Linked DNA regions of Drosophila melanogaster. The protein of the gene in region 1 purifies or fractionates together with the protein of each later gene. This does not show direct contact. Each region holds a gene or a part of one and is shown on either strand. Other genes may lie near its edges.

The links. Proteins that work in one complex are often made in the same cells at the same time.
Region 2: the proteins of RpL28 (region 1) and RpL26 fractionate together in Drosophila melanogaster (co-fractionation; one study listed by BioGRID). This does not show direct contact.

The regions. Positions count from the first base shown.
Region 1 is NT_037436.4:3,219,261-3,225,589, reverse strand, and holds RpL28 (ribosomal protein L28), read left to right. Parts: upstream 1-2,631; 5' UTR 2,632-2,802; exon of another isoform or gene 2,803-3,015; intron 3,016-3,048; exon of another isoform or gene 3,049-3,224; intron 3,225-3,260; exon of another isoform or gene 3,261-3,437; intron 3,438-3,473; exon of another isoform or gene 3,474-3,540; intron 3,541-3,608; 5' UTR 3,609-3,615; coding exon 3,616-3,708; intron 3,709-3,742; exon of another isoform or gene 3,743-3,819; intron 3,820-3,880; coding exon 3,881-4,123; intron 4,124-4,162; exon of another isoform or gene 4,163-4,240; intron 4,241-4,306; coding exon 4,307-4,405; 3' UTR 4,406-4,679; downstream 4,680-6,329. Other genes in the region: eIF1 (eukaryotic translation initiation factor 1), read right to left, coding at 1,130-1,276, 1,663-1,820, 2,064-2,091; nSMase (neutral sphingomyelinase), read right to left, coding at 4,872-6,159, 6,246-6,286.
Region 2 is NT_037436.4:18,896,406-18,900,908, forward strand, and holds RpL26 (ribosomal protein L26), read left to right. Parts: upstream 1-2,698; 5' UTR 2,699-2,734; intron 2,735-2,900; 5' UTR 2,901-2,914; coding exon 2,915-3,364; 3' UTR 3,365-4,003; downstream 4,004-4,503. Other genes in the region: CG3902 (uncharacterized protein), read right to left, coding at 1,539-1,644, 1,735-1,770; arx (asterix), read right to left, coding at 4,496-4,503.

The DNA.
Region 1 (6,329 bases):
TCCTGACAGGTTTTTAAAAGTGCGTAGCATGAGACACGCAAGTCAAGGCATGCGTTCACGCTTTTCGTTAACGATTATTGCTTAAATGGTTATTGCGTTTCAATGTAAATGTAGAGAGTAGCCTGCGGAAGACCGCACAAATACAAGCACGCTACCCAAAAATATCGAACAAAAAATACCAACTGCCTGCGAAGCGACAACCCTGAAACGTGCAAGAACATAATATTGCTAAGCGAAATCCAGCCCACCCGCCCCCTCTCCGACATGTTATCTGCACCATTATTCGCCTATATTCACTTACCACTGGGATGAATGGAAATCCCGGGCTCATCCGCCTGCAGACGGCGATTTCGTGCAGCTGTGACAGCGCTGAGGCGAAAACCACTTGTTAAATTTGGCCGAACGAACAAAATGAAACACCAAGCGTTCCGCGCGTCCACGTATTCTTCACTGAACGTTCTGCTGGCGAATTATCGTTGGGAAATTCGTCAGTTGCAACGCGTCGATTTCGGGGGACGAATTTGCCTACGTTTGACACTCAGATAACTCTTTTTTCCAGCAAAATGCAACACACGCAAAAACTTCGCGCTCCGATTTTTTGTGCCTAAATTAGTGTGACTGCAGAACAGTCTGACAAATGTACCCAAGAACGCCTAAGGTGGTATTCCCCTCGAGGTGTGAAACGTTGCTGAAGCTAAGACAACAACCAAATCAGACGTTCCTGAATTTGAATATTTTTTTTAATATTTTCGTTGACAATAAATAAATGGCCCACCTTTCGTTTTACTATATTTTAATTCAGAATCTTATCCGAATAGCTATGAAATACCAATGGGCGTTTTCTGCGTTACAAGCCAGAAAAACCAATTCGAAATACAAGCATTTATAATTTTTTCGACCCATTATACTACGACAGCGCCCGCACACATTCATTTATTTAAATTGAACATTTAATTTTATTTATAACATTGTTCTCAGTAAATGGTCTATTGCTTCTGTATGTTTATGTTCTATCAAGAGAGTTTGAATAATTCGGAACAAAGAACTTTTCCAAGTTTTTGGGTGTTGTTGCAGAGCTTAAGAATGAAAGAGTGGTATGAAGATTCACACGGTTTGTTCGTTCGACCGCTTAGAAGCCGTGCACCTTCAGCTGATCCGGCTTAGCTAGACCCACCTTCGTCAACCATTGACAGATGTTCTCACGCTGATCGCCCTGGAGCTGCAGAACCTCACCATACTCTGGGTGCTCGATTACAGTGCCATTGCATGCGAATTCCTGTGAATGAATGTAATTAATATGTTAGTGCTTTTCAACCAAATCCACAACCGACGAAGCAATCAATGTTTTAAACAATGTCTTGAATATGTGCAAATGAACTGCTGACCAAATAGATTTCAATAATATTCGCAGTTTCTTCAAAAATCTGTGCTTTGGAGCTATGAAATGGTTTCTATAGCAAAGAAATCTAATTATAATCGAATAATCTTTCAAACATCTCTTTTTGTATGTACCACTTAGTAAGGGATGTTTAAACTTCCATTCATGGAAATCAATAGATTAGGGGTTCAGATTTTACTGGATTAGCAGTTAAAACGCGTGCATATTATCTTGCTTCGACAGTTGAGGGATATTCCACACAAGGATACCCTAGGTGGACCCACCTTCTTGCAGGAGCGGACTATCTTCTTCAAGTCATACTCCGCGGACAGGCCCTGGACAGTGGTTAGCGTCTTGCGACCGTTCCTCTGCTGGATTCTTATATGCACTAGCCCGTCTTGAATATCATCATCATTGCCCTTGATTGCATCAGCAAAGGGGTCTGTAAAGGCGGAAAAAGGCTTGGTTATTGCGACTATCGGGAAATTCAGGGCATGCAAGATGTAAAACGCAGGTTGTAAGGCATGTAATCACACCCCAGCAGCGTGTTTTTCTTTTGTACCAGAATGCGCTTATGTGCGTGTGTATGGGTGTGTGTGTGTTCGTGATGATGACCGTCAGGGCGGCCATTTTTATGTACATGTGTAGGAGTCGGGGAAAAGTGTCTCGTTTGGCCTAAACTTACCACGAGTGTTTAAATTCTGGATGGACATACGACAATAAAAACAAACCACAGCCTAAAACAAAAACTTTTTGAAATGATTTGTTGATAGTCAAACTTTAATTTAACGTTTTACTGATTGAGTTTTTTTTCGGAAATGTGTCTGACAAGTAGACTAGAGCTGGAAAAAAATCGATTTCTAATCGATACTATCGAGTGTTCAGAAGATGGGCAACGCCCGCCAGCATCAATTATAATCACTTGATTTAAAATTGTTAATCACAAGGGTCTTCGTAAATTTATGAGTTTTTGGAGTTTTCGCAAATAATTAATCAATACCATAGCTTTTGCTTATATTCTAAAAATATGCTACAAAAATATTATAAAACTATATAAGCAATTAAATTTGCAAAAATTAAATTCATGTTATGTAGTTTTGAAAATACAAATCAGACAAATTTTAAATATTATCTGCTATGTGTTAGCGTACGAAATGCTTATCGATAGTTGCCCTGCCAACTCGCACAACACAGAATGCAACCCAGTGTTTTCGGCAAGCGCAGCCAACTTCGCGCTATGTCGGGCTGCCATATTTCTTTCCTTCTTGTATTTCAACGAGAAAAGGTGGGCATTTTGCGTTTGTTCTCGATTTGGTTAAGTTCTAGCGTTCTCTCAGCGTCCCAAGCGCTCCGCAAGTGTAGAGGTATAATGCCTGCACCACGTGTTGCCGTCTATTTGGCTGCCGGCCCGCTAAACCTCGGAGGTAAATTGAGTTTTACCCACACGTGCAACGCAGCGGGCAAATAGTGAATAAAAATTTGAATTAATTTGTAGCGAACCCATAATGGACTTAATCAAATAGTCTATATTACTAAGCGAACGTGGCGTTGATCAATACCAAATTTAATATCGTTTTTCTCTTTCTTTGCATGCTGCTTTTCCTACTGCTGATTTTACATGGATCTTTTCAATAAAGGTAAGAACACGTGTGGTCTTAAAATGCGTGATTAATTCTGTGATGAATGATTGAGCAGAAGAGTTCTTGAAGACTATATTCATCACCCAAGACTGAATATAACAGAAATATCGTTGTCTTTTATTCAGAAAAACATAATCTAACTGCCGACTTTCTTTTTGTTCCATGTTCACCTTTTGGCTGTGTAATTTATTGATTTTCCTTTAAAGGTAAGCATATAAAATGTGTTCAAAATCCTTATTTTTGTCTTAATGAGGATTGATTTAGCAGAAGAGTTCTTGAAGACTATATTCATCACCCAAAACTGAAAACGTTGCAGTTCTTCAAGAAATTAATATAGAAATTATTAATCTAATCACGAAATTTGTTTTTATTTCATGTTCCCCTTTCTTGCTTGCGTTTCTGGCGATTTGATCAAAAAGGTAAGCATTAAAATCTATATTGAGTACTTCAGTTGTGGCTTAATGAGGATTGATTTAGCAGAAGAGTTCTTGAAGACTATATTCATCACCCAAAACTGAAATACCTTTGAAAAACTTTAAATATGGCTTTTTCCTGAGCAATTACTAATATGTTCTTAACTTCTATTCCAGACGTGAGATGGCAACCTCTTCGCACCTCAATTGGTTGATCATTCGCAACAACAACGCCTTCTTGTTGAAGAAGCGCGATGTGAAGAAGCCCTTCAGCACAGTAAGTAAATATGGATTTAAATAACGTGCACCACATTTAAATGATGTTTCCAACTTATAACTTTCACAATGATATTTGAATACAACATGATAGTAACTTTAATCTGATAAAAGTTGGCTTCATCACTACTATGATATGACAAGCACATTACTGACTTCTAAATCCCTTCCAGGAGCCAAACAACTTGGCCAGCGTGAGCTCGTACCGCTACAGCGGCATCGTGCACAAGAAGACCCTGGGAGTCGTGCCAGCTGCCGACAAGAAGGGCTTCACCGCCGTGCTGAAGAAGGGCAAGTATGCCCAGCGCCCCGCCAAGAACACCGTGCGTGTTGACTTCAAGGCCGGTCCCCGCCGTTCCCTGAAGAAGCTGAAGAACCTGCTTATCGGCTCCAAGTACCGCAAGGACCTGACACAGGTGATTATGGCTCCAAGCCTAGAAACAACTGTTTGGGTTCTTGTCATGATGATCTTTTTTTTAATGCTACACAACCAAGATCGCAGAATGATCGTGTTGATAAACTTATCTGAAGCTCTCAAAGCTGAAGCTTATCGTACTTCAGTGTTAGGCCTATTCTAATGATTTTACTTGTGCTTATAGGCTGCCCTCCGCCGCGCTTCCGCTGTCCTGCGCTCCCAGAAGCCCGCCCCCGTCAAGGGAAAGAAGGCCGAGTTTGCTAAGGGAAAGAAGCCCGAATAAACTGTACCAGATTGGGGCTATGCGGAGCTGTTTTCTACTCGAGAATAAAGAAAAAATATTAAAAACACCGTAATATTAATACAGTTCTGTGGTTATTTGTCGATAATGGGTAGCGACCAAGTACTGCATACTTTGGGGCGGTAGTTATGAAATTTTCTATAACCATGAATGAGCTTACCATATATATTGTTGCTTATTAAACGACAAACTATATTATTGTTGATACAAAAGGTATCTTTAGATCAATCAATCTTTGTTTGCCTAAATGATTCTCACTTTTATTGAACTATTATTCCTGGGATATGGATGACGTTACACAGAAAGAGACCATGGAATTGCATTGACGGTTACACGAATAAAAAGATCAAGTAAGAGCGCTATAACTCTAGTCAAACATATATCGCTGCTTATAGTACGCTACACGTGGATTTTAAATGCGCATTGAGCTTGGCTGCTATACACAGCCTCAGTAGAAGTACTCGTACTTCTGGGCGTGGTGCAGCATCACCTCCATCGACTTCTTGCCCTGCAGGACCCCATTTCGTTCCATATAGTTCCAGATGGAGGCCATGAAGACGCAGAACAGGATCACGCCAAACACGATGAACTTGAGCAGCAGAAAGATAGTGCGCATGCCCACGGGGGCGGTGAACTCCACCAGAAGGACCAAGAGGACAAACAGGAAGGTGGCGGCGCTGTAGTACAGTATTCGATCAGTGTTTAACTGCAGCAGGGAAGCATCGCACAGCGCCAGAGCTTCAAGAAGGGCAGCAGTTCTAGCGGCGGGCATGGATTGAATGGAAGTGGAGCTTCCATTGCATTGGATCTCCGGCTGGTGTTGTGATGACTGATCGTCCTCTCCTGTCAAAGCATCCCCTGCTCCTACTTCCCTCACGGAACAGGTTTCACCATCCTCTACCAGGCAGTTCACCTCGATCGTTGCCACTGGCTCCTCACTTCTAGGTTCCAGCTTGAATAACTTCAGCTTGGCCATCACCGCCTCGTGGTCGGAGAAGCTAAATTTCTCGCCGGGTACTCGCTCCGGAAAAGGCAGTTTGTATTCGGCTATCTCAGCATTTACATGATCGCCACCACGCACAAAGATGTGATCGATACGGATACCCAGAGGATTTCTCTCCCGTGCTTGCTTAGATGTGTATGAGTTGTGTTCGCATTCGTTGGTCCGAAAAGAGTCCGAGTCGCAGCTGTCGAGCATCTTGGAGGTATAGAGCAGCACCTTGTAAGAGATGTCCTGTGGCTGGGCATTCAGGTCGCCAGCCAGAATCTGCAGCGCAGAGTTCCCCCTGGTGGCTTCAATGAATTGAGCAGTATCGAAGGCCTGAATAACGCGATGTGTCTTGTACTCGTCGTTGGCATTGTCGTACTCCGCGTGCAGGTGGGCATTATATAGGTGCACCATCTGCCCGCCGACGAGTATGCGGCACAGGCCCACACCTTTGCCGCCGAACCAATCGGCATGCTGAATACGGTGGAAGTAGCCATTTACGGACCACGCATGAAACAGAGTGCCCAGGATGGGGTACTTGGACAGTACCAGCAGACCGGCGCCCATCACGCCGCTGTGAAAGTAGTGGCTATGGGGCAGGACCGCCTCCGTGCCCTTTTGGAGTAGCTCGCTGTCCTCTTGCGCCCACACCTCCTGCAGGGACACGATGTCATACTTCCCGCTAGCCAGCTCCTTGCAGATGGCATCGATGCGGGGTCTGCGATCACTCGACACATACGGAATGCCCCTGAAAGTGCACATGATTAGCCTGTGCAGATCGGTGTCAAGGGAAGTGGGGCTCCAGCAGCCTTAGAAGGAGATGCCTGCTCTCACCATATATTCAGGGTCAGAATGTTCAGCTCCAGCAGCAACATAGCGACTTCTTTGGCCAATTTTCACGTTCGCATGCTTACAATG
Region 2 (4,503 bases), about 16 Mb from region 1:
TATTCGGTTGACGTTTAAAACCAGAACCGTACAGCTGACTGACCTGTGAAAACTCGTGGTTAAAGGATATCCTTAAGGACACTATATAAGTTTAATAAGAAACATTCCGCGCACGCAATAACAGTACTCTGTGGGAGGGGAAATGAGAGGATCTTGGATGAGAGAGGCTTATAATTTGAGGGCTCGAACTCGCGCTTTGGTAAATTGCTTTCTTTATGTGCCGGCCGCTCAACGAGGAACACCACGGCCAACCGAGAAATATCAGCGACGAAACTCGATGTTCAGCGTTGGCGGTGGGCAAAAGCTATTTTTAGAACACGCGTGTGTGTGTGTGTGAGCAGGGTGGGCGTGTGTGCGGGGCCCACCCCTTTTTCCTTCAGCCCACCTGGGTAAGTTTTCTCACTGGTAAATTATTATTATTATCAATTAATTATAATTTTTTAAAGAATTAAGCAGGTGGGAGGAAAATTTTTCCATCGGGAAAAAAGCTTGTTATAAGGTTAGACCTTGAACTTGCCAAGCTGGCAGCTTTAGCTCTTCGGCCATTAATTGTGCACTTTTTAAGAATACATATATTCATTTAGTTTAAGTGAACACTTTTAAACACATTTGACACAACACGATATTCGAAATATTATTATATATATTATATTATTATATTATTTGTAACTTTCTAAATTTAATTATATTCATTAAACATGCATGTAACCAGCTTTAAGAAATCGTATGATTTTTAAGAGCTAACCTTATTATGGCAGTACATAACAAAATTGTCACCTAAGGACCTCAGTGGGATGAATCATTAATATTTTGTAACTTTTAAGCATACTATTATTAAATACTGAAATAGTTTTATTAAAAATTATTTTATATAGATAAAAATATTTTTCACCAAAGGGAATAAATTATAAACATAGAAACACATTCAAGGACCTCATTTACCTTAAAAATATTAGGTTTATTACACTACAAAAAATTTAAGGGATTAATCATTACAAATTATATAATAATCGCCAGAAAAATTAATTTAATAAGGAATTAATTATAAGGTAATAATCGTTGATCGTCATTTTACAATAAGGATCAAATCGGAAATTGTATATCTTGTAATATTTAAACATACAAACGTCATAAAGAAAATGGACAAACCTACCCACTAATACTTAGTGACATTTTACTTCTACTATCAAAATAAAAATGTGCTTATCTGGCAAGCGGCCTCCTCCGCGTTTCCCTCAACTGAATAAACTTTATCAGCAAAAAAGGAAAAAAAAAAGAACAAAACTCGAAAAATACGAATACACACATAGTAGTGCAGCAAGACTTCAGCTGGTTAGCACAATGGAAAATTAATAAATAACAAGAGCATCATTAAAATGCGATGCTTGGTGTTACGTAACACCAAGCAAGTTCTAAACACCATAAAAATATCTAAAAATTCGACATGGAGAAAAAACACGCCTATCAAATGGGGACTACAACTCCGTGTACAGTACCATTAACACTATGATCTATTTAGATCCAAAGGGTATACTCACCAGTCTCCTTCATCATTTTCTCATCGTCGGTGAGAAAGGTGAGGGGTGGGGGGAGACCAGTTGCCGAGGACATCGCAGCACTTTGCTGACGTGCAGCGTTAGCCAGCTAAAAAGTTAATTAATAAAGAAAAAGGAATTAGTTGTAGGCATATATGTATGTATAAAGGTGTCGGTTAGGGGGGCGTGGCCAACTCACCATGCGCACGGGCAATTTCTTTAGGCTGTTCATCATCTTGAATGAAGTGGAAGAATTGATTTAATCAAGAGGCCAAACTGGACTTTTTTGAATTTTGGATCTGATCCCCAGAGACACCACAACGTTAAAAGTGGGCTGCTCACACGCGACTGAATTTCCATTCTCCACATATGTGGGGATCGTGGACCATAGGAAACCTGTTGCTGTTGGCGAAGCGCCATGTTAGTTAACAGCGGGCTGTATTTCGTTGAGCTTTTCGGTAACATTCTGTTAGTGCGGATGATCAACAGATGTTACTGAACTTTCTTCAACGCTGGTAAAAATATGAATTCAATCACTGAATTGCTATTGATTCTATTAAAACTATTTGTCTATATTTTTTATATTACTTACATATCTACTTTATTAATGGCCTTTCGTTAGATCCTTGATCTGTATTTCATTTTTTACAAAGGTATTAAGAACCGTTATTAAATTATAACTATCAGTATGTTGACATGTGAAAAATATGCTTTTAAAACGTAATAAAAACGTTTAACGAAAATTTAAAATTATTTTTATTTTTCACGAGTTGGGAAAAATTTAAACTGGTTTCCAATTGGAAAATATTGAATTGTAACAGTGAAAACAAGACCACGATTTTAGCAAAGACACACTCCCTTGAAGTGTTGCAAAGCACATGCTTTGAATTTGACAGTTCACGACTTAGAGATGACAGTGTTATCGATACTAGCTGAATTAAATTAAACAGTTACAGGAAGACATAAACAAAACAGTAAATATTTAAACAATTTCATAGGAAAAAAATAAGCGTAGAAGAAGGAAAATGAGCTATCAAAACCATTTATAAACGTAGAATCCAATGCTCTTCACCCCTGACAAGTACAACCGATAACATCGTTAACTATCGTTACGAAATACCACCTCCAGCACTGCCTCTTTGCCATCCCTAACCGCGACCCATCTGTCAAATTTCTTTCTTTTCGTTGATTTTTCGACGGTGAGTGCGTTTTCGTGATTAATTTCGTTTTTGGCCCGGCATCCCCACATATTATGCCCCATAAACAATGAAATCGAGCAGAGAAAACAACGCACGACTCGTTCGTGCAATTATTGTGAATTTCGGAGAGCCCGCCAATAAAGCAGTGCCTATTTTTTGTTTACAGCCCGCACAAGCAAGATGAAACAGAACCCGTTCGTGTCGTCGTCGCGCAGGAAGAACCGCAAGCGTCACTTCCAGGCTCCCTCCCACATTCGCAGGCGCCTCATGTCCGCTCCCCTCTCCAAGGAGCTGCGCCAGAAGTACAATGTGCGTTCCATGCCCATCCGCCGCGACGATGAGGTCCAGGTGATCCGCGGCCACTTCAAGGGCAACCAGGTGGGCAAGGTGGTCCAGGCCTACCGCAAAAAGTTCGTCGTCTACGTCGAGAAGATCCAGCGCGAGAACGCCAACGGCACCAACGTCTACGTGGGCATCCATCCCAGCAAGGTGCTGATCGTCAAGCTGAAGCTCGACAAGGACCGCAAGGCCATCCTGGAGCGTCGCGGCAAGGGTCGTCTGGCCGCTCTCGGCAAGGATAAGGGCAAGTACACCGAGGAGACCGCCGCCCAGCCCATGGAGACCGCGTAAATCGCCGGCTAAAACTCTGCTCTGGACAACTGGGACGTCGCTGTTTACTGTTTTTACCGTAACGCTTAGTGTAAAAAACAAAACATCTGAAAAAAATCGCGTGTGAAAACGGCGCCATTCTTTACAATAAAGGAAAGTTGATTTTCACAAATGGATCTGTTGGCTTATTTCCCTGAATGAAGTTTTAGATAAATGTGCCGGAAAACCGACGTAGCTGAGAAGTTTTGGAGTAGTTTAAAAAGAGACGCTCTGCTATTTGTTTTGCAAAGATTATTGATGTTTGATTACTGCCCGATTAGATTCTGTTTCAGATATAACTTATACTGCCATCTTCTCCATATTTTTGTTACTCTAAAAGTTAAAACCTTTAATTGACTTGCATTAGCTTGAAATAGAGTTTTCATTGAATTTGGACTTATAAAATGCTGTATTTGGCATCCATCCATTCAAATTAATAGTCAAATGATTGATTTAAGTTAAGCTTGTAACCAAAAATCCAAAAATAGCAGATTTAATACGTAATGGCTACTTACATGTATAATCGATCGTGTATTCCTACTATACAATCTTGATAAGCATCAACAGCAAACTTTCAAAGCTATTTAACTTTCCCAAAGAGTTTCATTTTGTAGGTAGAATAAACAGAACAGACCGATTTGAAAAACAGCCAATATTATTAGGATAACTAAAGAAACCAATATACGTCGGATTTCCCCTATTTATATACCCACTTTGGCAATAACGAATTAAAGGTATAAACGAATAAAGGTATTGTTGGGGATAAACTGATAGGTTAAGGAAGAGTAAGAAACGAGTATTTTTTTTGATAAGAAACAAAGTGAAATGCTTTATTTCACGATTATCTGTGTCGTTAATGGAAAAAGGCACATAGTTTACACATGTACATGAATTTGGGATATGTATGTTATTTTCATTATCTCAGAATAATATGAGATTGATTTTGTCATTTGCTCATCTGAACTGCGAGCAATACTTGTTTCACAGCACATGTTAATTTTAACAATTTGGCCGTGGAATTGTTTTTTTTGGTTATAATAACGAGTATAAGCCCCGATAAAATGTTTTGGTTTTTGTTCTTTGGCAGTGGGAGTAATTCTTGATGAACACGAACTACTGGC